Linked DNA regions of Xenopus tropicalis. The protein of the gene in region 1 interacts with the protein of each later gene in a pairwise test. Links are inferred from orthologs where the notes say so. Each region holds a gene or a part of one and is shown in the gene's direction. Other genes may lie near its edges.

The links.
Region 2: the proteins of mrpl11 (region 1) and fsd2 interact in binary tests that used the Homo sapiens proteins (3 or more experiments, as listed by UniProt). The two-hybrid records come from large-scale screens. The link is inferred for Xenopus tropicalis from reciprocal best matches to the Homo sapiens genes MRPL11 and FSD2.
Region 3: the proteins of mrpl11 (region 1) and tax1bp1 interact in binary tests that used the Homo sapiens proteins (3 or more experiments, as listed by UniProt). The two-hybrid records come from large-scale screens. The link is inferred for Xenopus tropicalis from reciprocal best matches to the Homo sapiens genes MRPL11 and TAX1BP1.
Region 4: the proteins of mrpl11 (region 1) and camk2d interact in binary tests that used the Homo sapiens proteins (3 or more experiments, as listed by UniProt). The two-hybrid records come from large-scale screens. The link is inferred for Xenopus tropicalis from reciprocal best matches to the Homo sapiens genes MRPL11 and CAMK2D.
Region 5: the proteins of mrpl11 (region 1) and thap1 interact in binary tests that used the Homo sapiens proteins (3 or more experiments, as listed by UniProt). The two-hybrid records come from large-scale screens. The link is inferred for Xenopus tropicalis from reciprocal best matches to the Homo sapiens genes MRPL11 and THAP1.

Annotation. Positions count from the first base shown.
Region 1 is NC_030680.2:38,001,339-38,005,402, forward strand, and holds the start of mrpl11 (39S ribosomal protein L11, mitochondrial), read left to right. Parts: upstream 1-1,249; 5' UTR 1,250-1,317; intron 1,318-2,302; 5' UTR 2,303-2,386; intron 2,387-3,808; 5' UTR 3,809-3,810; coding exon 3,811-3,933; intron 3,934-4,046; coding exon 4,047-4,064.
Region 2 is NC_030679.2:105,252,901-105,256,418, reverse strand, and holds part of fsd2 (fibronectin type III and SPRY domain-containing protein 2), read left to right. Parts: intron 1-1,490; 5' UTR 1,491-1,535; coding exon 1,536-2,246; intron 2,247-3,518.
Region 3 is NC_030682.2:42,549,264-42,552,781, forward strand, and holds part of tax1bp1 (tax1-binding protein 1 homolog), read left to right. Parts: intron 1-1,026; coding exon 1,027-1,278; intron 1,279-3,518.
Region 4 is NC_030677.2:69,389,405-69,392,922, reverse strand, and holds part of camk2d (calcium/calmodulin-dependent protein kinase type II subunit delta), read left to right. Parts: intron 1-110; coding exon 111-205; intron 206-583; coding exon 584-706; intron 707-1,777; coding exon 1,778-1,861; intron 1,862-3,518. UniProt on the Homo sapiens protein: Calcium/calmodulin-dependent protein kinase involved in the regulation of Ca(2+) homeostatis and excitation-contraction coupling (ECC) in heart by targeting ion channels, transporters and accessory proteins involved in Ca(2+) influx into the myocyte, Ca(2+) release from the sarcoplasmic reticulum (SR), SR Ca(2+) uptake and Na(+) and K(+) channel transport.
Region 5 is NC_030677.2:112,770,161-112,774,146, reverse strand, and holds the start of thap1 (THAP domain-containing protein 1), read left to right. Parts: upstream 1-1,168; 5' UTR 1,169-1,349; coding exon 1,350-1,420; intron 1,421-2,194; exon of another isoform or gene 2,195-2,266; intron 2,267-3,986. UniProt on the Homo sapiens protein: DNA-binding transcription regulator that regulates endothelial cell proliferation and G1/S cell-cycle progression.

The DNA of each region.
Region 1 (4,064 bases):
AACATCTCCTTAATCACTTGGATTTCCTTCTTCTCCTGTAACCCCCCCCCCCCCTCAGTAATTTGCTTTGATTCCTGGCTTGCCAGACATGCTCAATTGTTCTAAACTCAGATTACTAAACACACCCCCCAGTCTAGCAGCCAATGAAGAGATGGCATTGGTGGTTATAGTAACTCAGCTCTATTTCTTTTTCCTAACCTCCTCTCCTGAGCTCAGCTCGAACAAAGCAGAACTTTTATCAGAGACAGTTGTGCCTGTGTGAGCCTGTATTCTTGATGAAATGTATGCTGAATAAGGGTCTGTGTGTGTGTATGCTGTTTGGGTGGGGGAGATGTGCCCAACTGATATACACTGTAGGCAAATTTAGGCTTTACATGTACTTTAAGGTTACACTGCACTGCAATTACATCTGCATATAACCGGAAAAAATGATAATGTATAATGGAAAGTAAAGTTACATTTTCTTTTACTATTGGTTTGTTCACAATTAAGCATTTTTTTCATACCTAAAATCAGTTCTCAGTTTGGCACAGTCTTGGGGTTGTAAAATTGGGGTTACAATTGGCTGGTTATTTAGAAGAACCTTTTGTGGACAATTTGGTAACTGTTCAAATCCAAAAATGATGGGTGCAGTGCATCCCTATTTTTTGCATACATATTTAAAAATCAAGATATTAATAGCACTTATGAAATACATAGGCTGCGTCTATGTGAATTATAGTACTATAATTAATCACAGTCCCTGATTGATTTACATTGGGGGACTATTTAGACTCAAAATACTGATAGCGACCATTTAAAATGATTTTTTATTGTAAACTCGCCATCCTTGTTCATTCAAATGATTAGAGCTCCTACAAGTAATACGAACAATGTAATTTCCTCACCTGTTCAGGATTTTGACAAAAATTGAAACGACCAGACTTCCGGGTTACAGCACCAACCACGCTTGCTGTGGTTCCGCCCACATGTATACGTAACGCCTGCCCTTACCCATTCAGTGAAGAAGCAAAGTCACTGCTATTCAATGAAATTCCCAGATAGTGGTACTGAAGTAAGAATGAAACGCAGTCATCCAATCGGCGAGCGGTATTCAAGGCTCTAAGCTTATCCAATGGCAGCACAGATCGAGTGTGATTGGCAAGTATGTCTACCAATGGTACAAGCGTAATAGAAAGTCCGAGAAGCCAATCGGGTAAAGCGAAATGAGCTTGCGTGCTTATGGAGAGCTGCTTATGAAGGTCGTAAGGGGAGTGCAAGAGGACTGACATAAAGTGGTGCCGTGTTCCTGCAGAGTACTGACTTACTGAGGGGACGGTAAGCAGCTGTACAAGTAGATGTAGCTTGAGTGTGCATGGCAATAAGTTCGAGACAGCTGGAAATTCAGTGCTTTATGGCCTGTGGTCCCCGAAATGTCATATAGCATAAGTGCCTTTAGACCCCAGGCATGTTTCCGTGTGGGACTGCTAGTTGCCCCCTGTTCTGTAATAATGCTGTTTTATGTGGTAATGGTCCCTCAGGTCCTGGGATTTCAGGGAAATTCGGATTCATGCCTCCCCTTATCTTTCTAACTAAAGCTGCCCATACAGATCTTATAGTTTAGCCCCAGTGGTATTTTGAATCCTGCCCTATTATTATCTGGCAGATTTTTGACCAGACATTGGTTGGGCAGGCCTTTCAGATGGCCCTATACACAGGCCGATAATCTGCCAACTTGGTCTGGAAGGACAGAATTGACAGTTTATATTGGCTGGTGTATTCTGTGTTGTCATCGTACAAGTGTTTCCCAAGCATTCCTTCTGCTTCTACAATGGGGTATGCACACCTAAAATATGTATTAATTACTTATGAGCCTTTTATTCTGAATTTTATACACACACTATATTCTAAGTCAGTCCCTAAGCTCAGTAAGTGACAGCAGCACAGAGCATGTGCAGGGAATTTGCAGAAAAGAAGATGGGGAGCTACTGGGGCATCTTTGGGGGCACAGATCTTCCCTGCTAAAGGGCTGTGGTTGCCTTGGGCTGGTACAGAAACCCACAAAATAGTCTGCAGTATTTCTACCCTACTTCTTTATTAAGCTTTAATACCCCTTTAGAAACAATTACAGATCATTTACATTTTTGGTATAGATTTATTTTTGTGTTTTGAATTATTATATTATTGGTGCCTAAGATCCCAGATGGGAATTCTGCTGTATAAAACTCTCCCGCAGAACAGAATTGATTGAATAAATTATTTGTAATACTTGCACCATTATATGCAACTGCCATTCTTGACTGTTGATTTTTTCCCCTTACAGCCCCAGAGACCCATTAGTATTTATCTTGTTCCATTGTTCCCTGACTGCTTCATACTTATTCAGGTGCATTTTGGCAGACGTGAGGTGAGTGCTCGCTTCTTCTTTCTAGTGAGTGTTGTCCTTGCTTTTCTGCAACAGATCTCATTATTTCAAATAATCTGTCTGCAGACATGACACTAAGCTGAGAAGAGAAAGGCCTGCAGATCTGCAGATACTTTTTAAGATTCTTTTGTGAATTCACAACATGTTCCTTTGGCCAAGACTGTGCGAGTACTTTCACTCCTAGGAAGAACTATTTCTCATTTGAAAAATATGTCTCTGATTTCATTTGGGATTTAAAATGATTTTGTAACTCATTCAAACTAGACAGACACCATTTATGATGTTTGCAGGAGTTTATGACCTTCTTAGTTATGTGCTGGCCTGAACTTGTGGGACCCACAAGCCAACATCCACACAACTTTTGTGGATGGGTTTGGGCTGCACTTTACCATGTGTCCACCCTGCCTATGACCTTACTATGCCCCATCTCTGCCTCCAGATGTTAGTATTTATAAATTCGACTCTGTGTGCCCTGCCATTTTTTGCCCTGTCAGAGAGGGGCAGGTCGGGTGCAGGTCTATAAATACAGAGGGTTATGGTCAGGTGGGTTGGCAGGGTTGGCTACTGGTCAGCTTTTTGCCAGCCTGCACATCACTGTTACTTCATGATCTGTCTCTAGATCTGCTTCTTGCCTCTGCACTGAAAACTATATGTTCTATGATAGCTTTAGCCAAAGTAAAGCAGATTTATATTTTCTAGGGCTGCCCTATATGAGACATGGCAGTTTAACAGAAATATTTCTACAGCTGACCCTGATTACAGTATTTTATGGAGGAAATAACATTTTAAATAATCTGAAATGCTATACAAATGAAGCAAGTGCCAGTGCTGTCATTTATTTAATCTCTGAAACTCCCTCTGTATATCAGAATCACTATGGAAAATGCAGTAATGCTGAAAACAGGTCAGGGCAATGTCCCCTTTAATCTGTTGTGTGCAATGTATGTATTTTAACAAAATTCTATGCACCAAAATTTGTTTCGTGTGTTTTGGTCATAATATAAAGAAATGCTTGCCATGGGACAAAATATGGTCAAAAACTTCTTTCTGTTAGCAACTGTGCAACAACTACTGCTACTGAAAGTAGAGCTAACAACTTCAATGATAGTAAAGCATGTTGTGTTAGGATAAAGGTAATCGAAAGGTTGTATGAATAAGGAATTTATGTTGGCCAGATTTACACTGATAACTATTTAACATTTGGGGGAAAAAAAGCAGTTTAGATTGATAATAGAGCAGCAGCCAGCACAGGAAACTAGATGCATTATCATTTACAATGAAGTGTAGTTTAATGGAGCATAGAGTAGGGGCAAATATTTAGTAGGAATCGCTCCCACTTTAGCAGTGTCTTATTAAAACTTTTTGTTATTCTGGTTTACAATAAAAAATTTTGTTCTCCCTTAGTTATGTCAAAAGCTTCACGTGCAGTAAAAACTGTAAAGAAAGCCAATGTTGCCGGCATGATTCGAGCACTGGTGAGAGCTGGGCAGGCAGCTCCTGGACCACCGCTTGGACCCATCCTGGGACAGGTAACTGCTGCATTTTGAATACTCCTGTTCGGCAGTAGGAAAATCTCCTCTTTGCAATGTCTCCAGACTGGAATTTTGTAACCTCTCTTACTTTTTTCTGCATTCCTGTTTAGCGAGGTATCCCCATTGGC
Region 2 (3,518 bases), on another chromosome or scaffold:
CTTACTCCTGCATCTGAACTTGCCCAAATATTTATCAGAAAATGTATGTATAGTTTTATTTATATCAATTTATATTATGTATGTATAATTTCTTGCATATTGCACATTTAAATAATGCATGAATAGAACAGATAAGGAACACTACAGTAATAGAATTTTAATGTAAAGAAATTTGTCTTGTTTTTGGGAGTCTTTTCTAAGCTGAGAATCAATATGCAGTTGTGCGGCTGTTCCTCAAGAAACAGTCATCCTGAAAAAACATACCAGCCTCCCAGCTTCTTGAACGTATTTTTGTTTTATTCCAAGAATCAAGATCATTGTGAGGAGCTTTTTCATGTGGCTGAGTTTTCCCACAATAATTTTCATGAGAAGTGTATGGATTGTTCATATTTTTATATGTCTAAAGCCTAAATCTTCTGTTCTTCCTTTTATTTCAAAGTTGATGTCCCTGATGCTAAATAACTGGTTTGAAATTTCAGTAACACCAGGCTTTGTCTTCTTGTAAAAACTGGGCTGCTGAAAAACATTGTCACCTTTCTTTTAAGTCACATGCTCGGTGGGTACTTCTAAAGGAGGAGGGGGTATACTGTAAGTGAGGACCCAAAAGCACTATCTTCTTGATTATAATGTTTTGCTTATTTAGAGACTTTCTGTCCTTGCCCTTTCCTGATCTTGACTGTATCTTTTGATTATATCTACTTTCCTGTGTCTCTTTTCTCTCTGGTGTGGGATGGATTTCTACTGTTTCCACAGCCATAACAGAGCTCTCCTTCTTGGCCAGCAGTGTCAGAATATTAGCTTATCTTCTCCAACTACCGGGTCCTTCTCCTACCAATCTATTACATCTTTAGGGCTGTGGTAGACGCGGAGATTAGTCGACTGCGACAAATCTCCCTTGTTGCGGGCGACTAATTTCCCCGATATGCCATCCCACTGGCTTGAATGTAAATCGCCGGTGGGATGGCATATGCAGCGCAACGATTTCCCGAAACTGCGGAAGTTTCCTCTCAGGGCAACTTCCACGATTTCGGGAAATCGTGGCACTGCATATGCCATCCCTAAGGTAATTTACATTCAAGCTGGTGGGATGGCATATTGGAGAGATTTGTCGCTTGCAACAAGGGAGATTTGTCGCGGGCGACTAATCTCCCCATCTACCAAGGCCCTTATAGTGAAGGATGATGTTTAGTCTATTTATTGTCTCATTATATGCAAATAGAAATCCAAAAATGTTTTGCATTTCAGAGGGATGATATTTTCTCTCTTTCCACAGTGAGTCTAGTTTTGTGAAATAAATTTAGTGGGAAAAACACCTCTAGCACCTCTAAATCAGTGAGGTGATCCTCACTGCACTATATATATATATATATATATATTTAATTACCATAAAATAAATAAATGTTCAAGTATTAGCACTGATAATGTAAATAATACTTTGTACATAGTTTTCCCTTTGTTGTTTAAACATTGTTTAATTTATTATTTAACAGGCTTTGCCAAAGTAGAATCTAACTACGAGAATAACTTTGTGACCAATGGATGCTAATAAACTGGATATCCCAGAGGACTTGGACACAATTGTGGAAGAGGCAGAAGGACAGGATGAGTCTACAAAAGAGAAATCAGAGAGCCTGACTTTTTATCACACAGATTTGTATGATTCTCCAGACAAACTGACCATCTTTCCTAAACAGGAACTTTCTGAGGAAAAAAAGCCACACATTGCAAAGCAAGATTTGTCTACTACTGCTGAACAAATCCATTCAGATCTGCAAAAGGAAGTGGATCACTTGGCCAAACAGTATGGAATTTCTGATGATAAAGAAAAAGATGAACAACCGTTTTTAACAAGCGTGCCTTACAAAAACCCAGAAACAATTTTTCATAAACCCACTGCCCCCAAAAGAGAAAAAAAATTGCTCAAACGAAATAAAAGTATTGAGACCTCTAATAAAATAAGCCAAAACCAAAATACAGAAACAGGCACAAAGACAGAGAACAGTTCCCCTAAAAGTAGTGTGCTGGATGAGAATGGCAGCCATCTTTCCAATGAAAGTGGTCAGCTTGGACATCATCAAACTAAAGCACCAGAAAAAGATGGAGGATGCGTAGATTCTGAAGAAAATTATATCCCTGACATTTACTGTATCACATGCAAAACCCCAGTTAAAGCTTTTGACAAGCTGTTTGGTGTACACAAGGATCATGAGGTCATGGGCATAACCGCTGCTGTTGAACAAAAGAAAGTAAGAATAAATAAAGGGGGTGTTACTATTATCAATTTATAAACATATTTATATAAACACATTTCTCTTAAATAAGAGTAGGGTATCTTCAACAAACCATACAAAGTAAGTATTAAAAGCAATACAAAATTGTAACGCTGATAGTTACAGCTTACAGTTTTATACAAGAAGGTGAAAGAGGTGTAACATTGACATAGTGAACTTTAGTGGAAAAAGTGGTTAAAGCAGTGAAATTCAATTGGTAATTGGTTTGTTATGAAATAAATAATAGATAAATAGTAATAAATTAGGCATGCTGCCATAAAGAGATGTTTTAGAAAATTGGGGAACACTATGGGGCACATTTACTAATCCATGAACGTCCGAAAAGCATCCGAATGCGTTTTTTTCGTAATGATCGGTATTTTGCGATTTTTTAGTAAATTTTTCGTAGCCGTCGCGCCGAGTACGAAAGTTTCGGATTCATTCAAGCTTCAGTATCGTGACTTTCCTTGGGCCAGGTTGGAGCTGCAGAGTGCCATTGAGTCCTATGGGAGACTTTCCTTGGGCCAGGTTGGAGCGGCAGAGTGCCATTGAGTCCTATGGGAGGCTTCCAAAATCATGCAAAGACTGAAAGTTTTGCCCGACGTTTACGAGCGCTCAATACGAAAAAGTCGCGACAATATACGAGCAAATCGTAACGGCTACAAAAAGTCGCGACAATTCGTGCAAGTTGTAACGGCTACGAAAAAGTCGCGACAATTTACGAAAAAGTCGCAAAATGTTCGTTTCCAATCCGAATTTTTCCTATTCAGATTCGTGGATTAGTAAATGTGCCCCTATAGGTTGTAGATGAGAATCAGTTCAGCTCTAGAAAAATCTTAAAGAGATACTGACACCAGAAATTAAACTTTTTTTTACATCTATCATAACCACATTGTCTTTGCATGACCTTCATTTTTGCCATAAAAGTATTTGCCCAATGCTTTTATATTACCTGTCTGATCCCCCATGTTCCTCTGAGGGGGCTGCCATATTTGTGCAGCAGGAGGCCGTTAGCATTAGAAGCTGTAACTGACAGGGTGAGGAGGGACAGACAGGTTGGCAAAACAGTCAGGTTTAGGAACTTCAAGTAACAATTATTTACAAAAGCAAATCTCTCAGCGAAAATCAATCAACATGACCTATAGGCAACTTTTTATGTAGATTCATATTTTGAGGAGTCATTTTTTAGTGTCAGTATCACTTTAAAGGTGTTCAAGTGAAGTGGTTAAATGAATGATTAGGGAGTTA
Region 3 (3,518 bases), on another chromosome or scaffold:
TTATATTTTTTAAAAATTAGAATTATTTGCTTATAATGGAGTCTATGGCACATGGCCTTTCCGTAATTCGGAACTTTCTGGATAACCAATTTCCGGATAAGGGATTCCAACCTGTAGTCCTATTTGATGGCTCAATTTTCCCCCAGACAGAAATAATAAGGGCATGGTTGTTGGTCTTCTACCCAGGCATTAGGCATTTAATCTGCTTCTTTATAAGAGAACTCTTCCAAAACAAAATGTGTTAAACAGCCCAAATTACAATCATGAAAACAATCAAGAAATGATCAGAAAAAAAGTTTTTTTAGAAAGTTCTGAATTATGGGAAGGCTATCTCCCATAGACTCCATTTTAGTTCACATTTTTAAAAATGATTTCTTTTTTCTCTGTAAAAATAAAACCATACCTTATACTTGATCCCAAATAGGATATAATTAATCAATATTGGAGGTAGAATTTTCCTACTGGGTATATTTAATGTTTAAATATTTTTTTAATAGATTTAAAGTATGGAGACCCAAATTACAGAAAGACCCCCTTATTTGGAAAACCCCAGGTCTTGGTCCTATACCTCTATACTGAAAAGTTGCTTAAAATTATGTTTATTTTCAGAAAGCTTAAGTTGTGTTTGGGTGGAGTTCCCCTTTAACATTCATGCCATTAAATCTTATGTTTTTGTATTTTTATGGGATGTATTTGTATTGTATATAAAAACAGATTTGTTGACAGATAACCAGACAGTTTACTGTATGGGCCATGAATGTATCTCAAATAGTTTGAGCCTTTATACAAGGGTATCTTAATTAAGATACTCGTCACTGCAGATTTCACACATTCAATAAAAATGTTAATCAAAAAATACCGTATAAAACCGAAAACACTTCTTATCAGCTTATGACAAGTAATGATTTGAACTGTATGGTCTTTGCATACTATGCTGTTGTGCAACTGTTATATAATGCAATGCTTTTGTTTTATTTTATTTGCTTAATCTGATTTGATCTTATTTTGTTTTAAATATTTTATAAGGAGGATATCGCCTTTTTAAAGCAACAGCTACGAAAATTGGAGGATCAACACCAAGCCAGCAGACAAGAAGTCTCTTTAATGTCTAGGGAATTGAGTGAGGCAGTAAATAAACGTGATAAAACCATGGCCGATCTCCACTCAGCCCGTCTTGACACAGACAGTGTGAGGATGCAACTGGCTGATGCTTTGGCTCAACTAAGTATGCGAGATGAGCAACAGCAGAAGTCCAACCCTTTTGCTAAAAAGGACCAGGTAAAACAGACAGAAAAGACAAATATTCATTCAGATTCACCAGTCCGAAAGTAGCAAGCACTTAAATGAATTGGGGTCTCCAGTAGTAATGTCAAATACGCTTGGATGTAACTTGTAATTAGTTTGGGTGTGACTTGTAATTTGCAGGTTATTGCTTAGTTGGTTCTGGTTGATAATTTAGAATATCCTCCTTACATAGTTAATGTGAGTTGAAAAAAGACAAAAGTTCAACCCCTCCAAATGGCCCCCAGTGCATATACACATACCTATAAAGACCTAACAATATACAAAAAAAAAAAATTATATATATATATATATCTGTTCCAGTAACGGCACTCACCAATCGCAAGCCACACGCCGGGTGCTCACCAAACGTATTCACATAGCTGCAGCAGAAAGCACTCACGGCTCCGATTTGTGCAAAAGTATCAAAAGTTTTATTGCTCCACGCTCACATGATGTGAGCGTGGAGCAATAAAACTTTTGATACTTTTGCACAAATCGGAGCCGTGAGTGCTTTCTGCTGCAGCTATGTGTATGTGTGTATATATATATATATATATATATATACCTCACTGTCCTCGGAGTTGAGAAGTTGACCAGTTATGGAAAATCCTCAGAGTGCTGACATTTATTCCATTTGAAGATTGCTCTGCTCTAGCACCAAGGTATAGAAAATCTTTTTTGGAGTGCTCCCTATTTTGGACTTTGTATTTTCAGATGGTTGTTTTCAGCTTTCTGAGGGTAAGCACCCACCTCTATTTTTCCGACTTTAAAGGAATTTTTATGGCCCTTCCTTTGGGCCGTCTACATGCAATATTTTGAAGTTTTCTGTTTGTCCCCATTTCTTGCTTGATCATTGGTGAAATTACGGAACTAAAACGATAACACGCATTTCTTCTGAACACACTGATTTACCTACATCGCTCACCCCTACTACCCACTGGCTAATGGAAGGCAGCGGCTCGCAACTAACATTTGAAGTTGATACTAGCACGGACTTCACCTTCACCCCACAGGATGCAGACAAAATTCTGTTTACTGAAACTCCATTGGACATTGCTACAAACAAACCTGATATCGATATATACCATGATCTACTAAATTTGAAGAAGAAGGAGTTAGACCTTCAACTACACGGTATCTATCTCTCTAACTATCATAGACAAAGACTTATCCCACGGGGTTTTAGGATTAATAACATCCCCACCATTGGTCGCAGTAACCCAGAGTTTTGCAGTAAGTGGTGCGGTATATTGAACCATTGCTCATTTGACCTGCTATTGCTAGTGGTAGAACAAGTTGGGAAGGAACTGGTATCTATACGGGCAGACATTAACACATTAGAGCTACAGCACCTAGAATCCCTCAGGGCAGACACTACTTCCGACTGGATACACAAACTACAAACAAATATTGACAAATACAAACAAGATCTAACTAATTTCAAACAGAAAAAACTACACAAAGTGGCAGATGACTATAAACACAAGAGGGTTTATGGGTGGCTATTGGGTCTAAGACCAGGCGACCAAGGAAGGAGACCTATTAGACGTAAAAGACTCCCCAGATCCCTAGCAACTGTAGACAGTTCGGATCAGTCTACTGACTCGGACACTGGGAACACCAACAACCCTGGCAATAGGCCTTTTTTAGGGGTGACCACAAGATCAAAGAAAGAAGGAGGAGACCTACCAGGAGAGGGGGTCACAAGTGTAAGGGGGAAGCCTCCAAAGGGGAAGAAAACATAGTTTTCAATTTGAGCAGACATATCCTCACACCGGGTGAGTCCTCATTATTGTGCAAGGGTCTTTCCTTTGTACCTAGCACTATACCCAATACATTTGATACTTCAGTAGACATTTACAAGTTTCAGAGGAAACTTAGGCTGAAAGAACACTTTAGAAACACACCTAGGGATACACAACCCCCCTTTAGGGCTAAAAGCCACTTTGAGCCCCCTAATACCCCAGCGGCAGTACGTACTTTCGGTAAAGTTCTTAATTTAGAAGCCAAAGCTATGGCTAAAAGTACACGGTCCTATCCCAATCTATCAATAGCAGAACGCCGAGCGATTAAAACTCTCCAGGAGGATACAAACTTAGTAATTAGGCCCGCAGACAAGGGTGGGTCCATTGTACTATTGGATTATGGTTACTACAGGGATGAACTGTTAGGACAATTGAGAGACTCTACCACATACAAACTTCTCCCGGGGGACCCCACTAGCAAATTCAAAA
Region 4 (3,518 bases), on another chromosome or scaffold:
GAAAGGAAATAATAATAATAAAAAAATAAACCACATAGCAAAAGCAGCAGAAATATTTACTGTAATCTGTTGAATATTTTCTTACAATGAAAACTGTGTTTGCCATTCAGGTGTCATTCTCTACATCCTTCTTGTTGGCTATCCACCTTTCTGGGATGAGGACCAACATAGGCTTTATCAGCAGATTAAGGCTGGTGCTTATGATGTAAGTGTATGGCTCATTTCCCAAACTAAAAAGAAAAACAGAAGCTGTATGCATGGAAAATATGTGAGCTTATGCATAAAGAATACAATATTCCCACTGTGTTTTTTAGGTCAGGTTTTTATTATTCTTTTGACCAAGTTATTTTATATATTCAACTTCTGTTGCTATTTAAGGAAGAATATAAGAAGCATGCTTAAGGTGATAGAAAATGTTTTATTTATAAACATTCTTACACAAGAATTACCTTTAGCAAGGTCGACAGAAAAATAAAAAAAATATTAGAACAATTGAGAAAAGTGGTAATTTTTCTACAGATTTTATTTGTATGCAAGATTTACAACCCTTTATGAACTACTCATTCTTTTTTAAAATACTTAGTTTCCATCTCCTGAGTGGGATACAGTGACTCCTGAAGCCAAAGACCTTATAAACAAAATGCTCACGATCAATCCAGCCAAGCGCATCACAGCTGCGGAAGCACTCAGACATCCTTGGATCTGTGTAAGTTTCTCTTCAGAACTTTATGCTACTAGATATCTTCTCTGGGTTGCTTACAATTTTATTGACAAAATGTTAATCAGTTATTATTGCTTAGATCTTGCTTGTATATTAGAGTAACTATCAAAATTGCATATCTGTTATAAAAGTTTACATTGCCTTTACAGAAGAGAAATAACTAGAATGATTGGAATGCAAAATGTTGCCTCTGTGCTCCATATAGCAATAGCAGCAGCTGCATATATCTGTAAGGTTCAAATAGTTCTGTTCAACCTGACTAGAAATGCAAGCACACTGTACATTCTGTCTGATACTGTTATGGACAATGTAAGCAAGTCTTTGTCAATGTACATCTTCTGCATACAAGATTTTATTTTGTTTTAGGATGGTGTACACTAAAATATTACCTTCTAATTTCCACTTGTTGGTAGACTGTCTGTTTAAAATGTTATTATTTAATACATCTGAATGCAGCTGCTAGATTCATTTTTCTCAATTAGAAATACCCTCTTCTTGCTATTAGTAAATAAATGTGATTAACTCTCAGATCCTCACAAGATTTGGTGCCTGCATTAGCACAGATTTACCACGAGTGACAAATAAGATAAGTCTGGAAGATATGGGGCTGAGACACAAACTATGAAAAAGCAATATAATACAGCGCTTCCAACTCAGGGAAGCCCATTTGATTATTTAAAAAAACCCTAGCAGTGTGCAGTAGAATTCACCTACATGGTTTTGGCCTTCATAGTACCCATTGATTGTTGGGTAAAAAACCATAAGCATGATAAGAAGTAGCCAGAGAGTGCAGATTGCAAATAGCTGATAAGCTTCCCTATAAACACTAGATGTGTAGAGGCAGATTATATATAGGGTTAACCTAAACTGACAAATGAGAAAATATGTCAGGGAGTAACTGTCATTGCTCCTGTTTGAGAGGCTACTGGAAAACGTTAGTAAAAAAGGATGTGAAGCTGGGATGATTGGGCAATATGTCTAAAGACATTCTTTTTAAAATAGCATTTTATTTATTTAATTAATTTTATTATGTGTTTTTTTCTAATTTCTTTCCAGCAACGATCTACTGTTGCCTCCATGATGCACAGACAAGAAACTGTGGATTGCTTGAAGAAATTCAATGCAAGAAGAAAGTTAAAGGTACACAGGAGAAAACTGTTTGTGTTAAGACAGAATATTATAAGTAATGTATAAACTGCAAATCGAATCTTTTTGTGACATTATACATTACTTAGAATTCTTTGTAGATTAACTGTACACAGTACTATAGTGAACTCTCTACTCAGTAAGTTTGCAGGTTATCCATAATGACACCATTGGACAAGATTCCAAAATATAAAAGATTCTGAATATAAAATTAAAAGTTTAAAGGGGCAGTAAATAGCTATATGCATTATTAACATGAGCAAAATGATGCTGAGTTAGGTTTATTAGTTATAATAAGCTTTGTATAAATAATTTACCCCTTCACCCTTTGTTTTCATTGTTAACCTCAAAAAAAGAATAAGAAAACAGATTTTTCATAATGAAATCTGGATAAAGTATTTTCAACACAAGCCTTATTTATTAAATTCATGGTGATCAAGGTGCTTTACTGTACCTTTAATGCCTCTTTGTACAGTTCCAATAAGTTATAAAGATTATTTTGCAAATGCTGTTTTTTATTAGTAATAAAATGCTTCTAATTGGCCAAGAAATATGTTTATAACCCCATAAGAATAGGGTGTGCAATGGGAAAAAATAATCAAGACAAGCGTTTGTGTCACATTTAATGCAAATCTGAGGTTTTATGAGCATTGCATTTAAAAAGCTTTCACTTTCTTATCATTTGTTATCCATGTTCATTTGTGAGCAGTTAGATCTGCTTTTTCCTAAAAAAAAAAGTTACATTTGATCCTTAAATGGGTTATCAAACCAAAAACATTCTTTTTGCAATTTAAACAGCCGCTTTATATACATTTCAAAATTTCAATGTATTTAAAGTTTTTTATAATTGCTATTAAAAGTAGTTTCTGACTGTTTTTAACAGCAGTTATATTTACAAATTCCATTAAAATCATTAACATGTTAACTAAATTAAATATATTATTTATATTCATATATATTAATAATATATTGTGTGTATATATATATATATATATATATATCTGGAGTAAAAACATGCACTTTCAGGCAAAATCGTTTTAGATTTTGAGTTGATAAGTAAGTTTCCTAAACTTACGTACTAAATCTAATAGTTATTATAATATTGTGATGCACGGTTCACAATAAAGAAATACACCACCACAGAGTGGCTATCTTAAGCCTACTTACAGAGCAAATGCTGCTTAATATATCTCAAGCTCTGTTAACGTATGGGATTTTTGATGGCTAGCATTTGCCAGCAATACATTGACCTTTATTTAATCTGGAATAGGAGCAGATAAAACCTTAGTAAGGGGTATTTTATTCTGTGTTTCCAATTTTTTTATAATTAATAGTAGGAACAGACTCATATTTAACCTGTTTCCAAAACTAAGCACAATAGTTTATAGATCAGCAGTGTATGGTGATAAGGAGACCTGTGGAGTTCCATATTGTTATACTCTGTACCAGTACATATCCCCCAATATGTGCCAACAATTTTCAGATTTTAATATACTGCAGTCCTAAATCTGCTCTAGAGATGTCTGGGAATAGTAAGTAAAATGGCAGGGTACTAGGCAACCTTTTTTTCCATAAAATTAGCACCACCCTGGGGGGGAAAACTTCACTGGGGTGGAGCTAAATTATTGCCCTCTGCAGTGAAATTTAAATG
Region 5 (3,986 bases), on another chromosome or scaffold:
GAAAAACTATTGTTTCCCCTATCCGGAGCATGGGCTCTATTAGGCTGCACCTCAGGTGGGGGAAACAACATAGGGGCAATTGGTGCACTTTAAGGGCTCTGGCCCTTAGTCGCCCGCGACAAATCTCCTGTGTCTCGGGCGACTAATCTCCCCGAAATGCCATCCCACCGCTGCCGTGTATGCTATCCTACCGGCGATTTACATTTTCGCCGGTGGTATGGCAATCTGGGGAGATTAGTCGCCCGCGAACAGGGAGTTTTGTCGCGGGCAACTAATCTCCCCGTGTGCCAGAGCCCTAAGGGCAGTGGCAGACTAAGAGATTAGTTGCCCCGCAACAATACGGCATATGCGTTGCTACGATTTCCCGAACTTGCCCTAAGTACTTTGGGTGAAATCGTAGCGACACGTATGCCATCCCACTGGCGATTTACATTCTTGCCGGTGGGATGGCTTTGCGGGGAGGTTACCCGCGGCAACAAAAATCTGACTAATTTCCCCTTGTGCCACTGCACTAAATCTCAGCTACTGTGGGTAACTAGTCTCCAGGAAATGCCTTTCCACAAAAAGCACTTCCTTTCCCAAAGTTACCTGCAGGAGGCCAAGTATGCCTTCCCACCTTTGGAGCATTGTTTCTCGTTACACACAGGTAACATTACAGACATACTACTCATACAGCACCCACAAGTTGGGCAGCGCTAGAGAGATTGTTTTTCATTCACACCAACTCGTACATAGTGGCGCTTACAATCCAACTTCCCTACCACTTTTAACTAGCGCACAAGCGGGCTGATTACGAACCGATTAACCTGTTCTCGCTAATCAATAATACACGCCAACTAAATAAGGGTACTGAAAGACATACATGTGTTTAATGATCATATAAAGGTACAAAGTCGCAAGCCCTTGTTACGCTTCTGATTACTAAAACAAATACGTCGAATAAAATCCTTTGAATCCTACATATACTCACACCTTCCGAGTAACCTACTCATTTTCTACAGAAATATAAAGAAACCCCGGCTGGCTAAATCAATTAGACGTAAACATAAGAATAGGCGGAGCAAATATTGCACCACGTGGTACACCCTCGCAAATCGTAGTCCAGCTCCCGCTCAGCGAACGTGACGCCGACCTGAAGCGCTGTCAGCCATCTTGGAGCCGGGAGGAGCGCAATTCACCAACAGTCTCTGCAAAATTATTGTAAATTAATTCGGTGGTGCTGTCAACTCGGTAGCCAGCGATACACCAGATCGAGAAATTAAAGCAATCTACGGAAAACCCGTCGCGCTTTTCAAGGTGCAATAAGGCGGTACCGTCTGTAGCAGAAGAAACTGGGCGCGTCGGAAAACATGGTGCAATCGTGCTCGGCTTACGGTTGCAAGAATCGCTACGATAAGGATAAACCCATCTCTTTTCACAAGTGAGTGCATTTTGCGCTTTGCCCGGTAATATTTAGCTGGATAGTATTCTCGGTCCCCTGAAAGCAAGAGACGCATGCGCGAAGCTCGGTGCTTGTTCTAATGCTAGGCGCCTGCCGATACCACGTGGTCAGGGGCTGGGAGTGCGCGGCCTCGCCTTGTGTTACTGTGTGTGAGCTGCATCCAGTTGTTCAAACTTTGAAATAAATGGACCTAAGAAGGGGAAGAGTGATTTTACCTCATTTTTATTTTATCATATAAATATGTGGACTGGTATATTTAACGCTTTTGCCTTTTTTTCTGGTAAAAATTGCCACAATTGTGCATGTTATCTGAGTGAAACTTGTCAGAAAATATTCCCCCTGTACATAGGGTTTATCTGTGAAACAGTTGTATGTTACACAGCCTTCTCCTTCTCCAACATTGACTTGGCAAATTTAAGCTCTCAGTGCCTATGTTAAATAAAAGAAAACCCAAACCCATAAATATTTGTTAATTTAAACAAATAAAAAGTATGTCCTATTCAATAATAATCTTAAAAAGCATTTGCACAAAGTAATGTATCATACTGCTAAAATACCCCTTGGGTATCAAGCCTATTCATAAGTTAAGATAATATCACTTAGGAACATCGCATTCCAGTTAGGGTATGGGTAGGGAAAAAAGGAAAGGGATTTTTTTCTGAATTGTAACACCCTGTTAAAGAGAAATACATATATTTTCCATTATTATATTGTTGCTGTAAAAGTTGCCTTTTATGCAGTAGCATACCTAACCTTGGGTACACTTATTCAACAGCGGCGTAGTCACATGATGGAAAACTCCTCCATTTTGCTTCTCTGGTGGGCCTAGAGGGGTGCATTTCACCCCCTTGTAGTTACGCCACTGCTTTTATGTATGCATCTTCTTTATGGCTAATTAACCAATCATTTAGATCCCTGCTGTTGTCTTGCAGTTGGCCATGGGGGCTATATTCAGCCCTTCAGTATGAGTATGTTGCATTTATTAAAATGTATTGTAGTGTAGTGTGCTCATTACCAACATCAAATCTAACCTGCAGTCCTTTTGATATGTCTGGGTTCAGTGTGAGACCCCTGAAACTTCAGATGTTGCTCAGCAATGCTGTAGACTGTTCTTGATTCTGTGATCAATGTGGCAAGAATCTAATTTAACTGTTAACACTTTTAGCACTGGGATTAAAATGTCTGAATTGAGGAAGCCGCAATTGAAATAATATACTCCATACTTTCTTACTTTGCAATAATTTGTTTTAATGTCTTATTTTAAAATTTAAATTGAATAAATATTTGACTTTTTAAGAACATTGTTAGTACCGTATATACTCGAGTATAAGCCGAGTTTTTCAGCCCTAATAATGTGCTCAAAAAGGCACCCTCGGCTTATACTCGAGTATATACGTTCTCCCGGCCGTGCGCTCGCTTGCTCACACCGCCCAACCCTGGACATATGCGCTCGCATGCTTGCGAGTGTTGACTTACTCTATTTCATTGATCCATCACCTCGGCAGCCATCGGCGCGCAACTTACTCTATTTCATATCCAGCACTGGGCATCCGTCGCAATCGCATGCATCCCCCCGTGCGCGTGACATGTGTGCGCGGATGCCTGGTGCTGGATACGTGCATGCGATCGCGCCCGATTGCTGGAAAGGTACGTGATATGTTGTGCGCGACGAATGCCCGGTTACAGCATGATGGCTGGCGCCCGATGGCTGGCGAGGTGCTGGATCGGTGCTGGATCAATGAAATAGAGTAAGTCAACAGCACAAAAGGGCATTTAAAAGAACTCAGAGTTGCAACATGGGTCAACTACAAGGTAAGGGCATATTAAGTTGTTCGCTTTGATATTTTGAGTTTTGCCACAGAGACAGGCCCTTAGGCAGCAGGGATACACAGACTGACACACATAGACTGTACACAGGCTGACAGCTGCTCACTTTACACCTCCTGCCTCAGACTTAAGGTTCATGATTTTTGGAACATGTCCTCCCTCTTAGGCAATGGTTGACAGTGAATTATTACTAAGAAACCTAATGGGTTAAATAGGAACTGTGATCGATATGTGTTACTATGAGTATAGGATAACGTGTGCACTGCTTTCCAATTTTTGCCTCCTAAAAACAGACACTGATCATTTTCTCCCCTGATATACCTAAAAAGCAGCTGCTCTAAAGTCTTTGCATTACCAGGGCTAATTAAATACAATAATGTTGCACAAACTAAGGTGGCTTAACACAAGCCAGTTTTCTTATGGCCGGTCATTTTGAGTGTTTGAGAGACTGGATATACAGTATGTTGTTTTGTCAAACGCAAGGGTGGTTCTGGATGCTTCTCAGCTGGCCGAAATACACAGGTGGAGAAAATGCCCAATTTATTTATCTATTTTATTAATATATTATTTTCTCATCTGCAATGTTTTCTCTATCTTCCATGATGATGATAGCGTTTTGTGCAGGTGTGTTAAAAGAAATGGATGCCTAGGCTTATACTCGAGTCAATAAGTTTTTCCAATTTTCTTAGGTAAAATTAGGTACCTCGGCTTATACTCG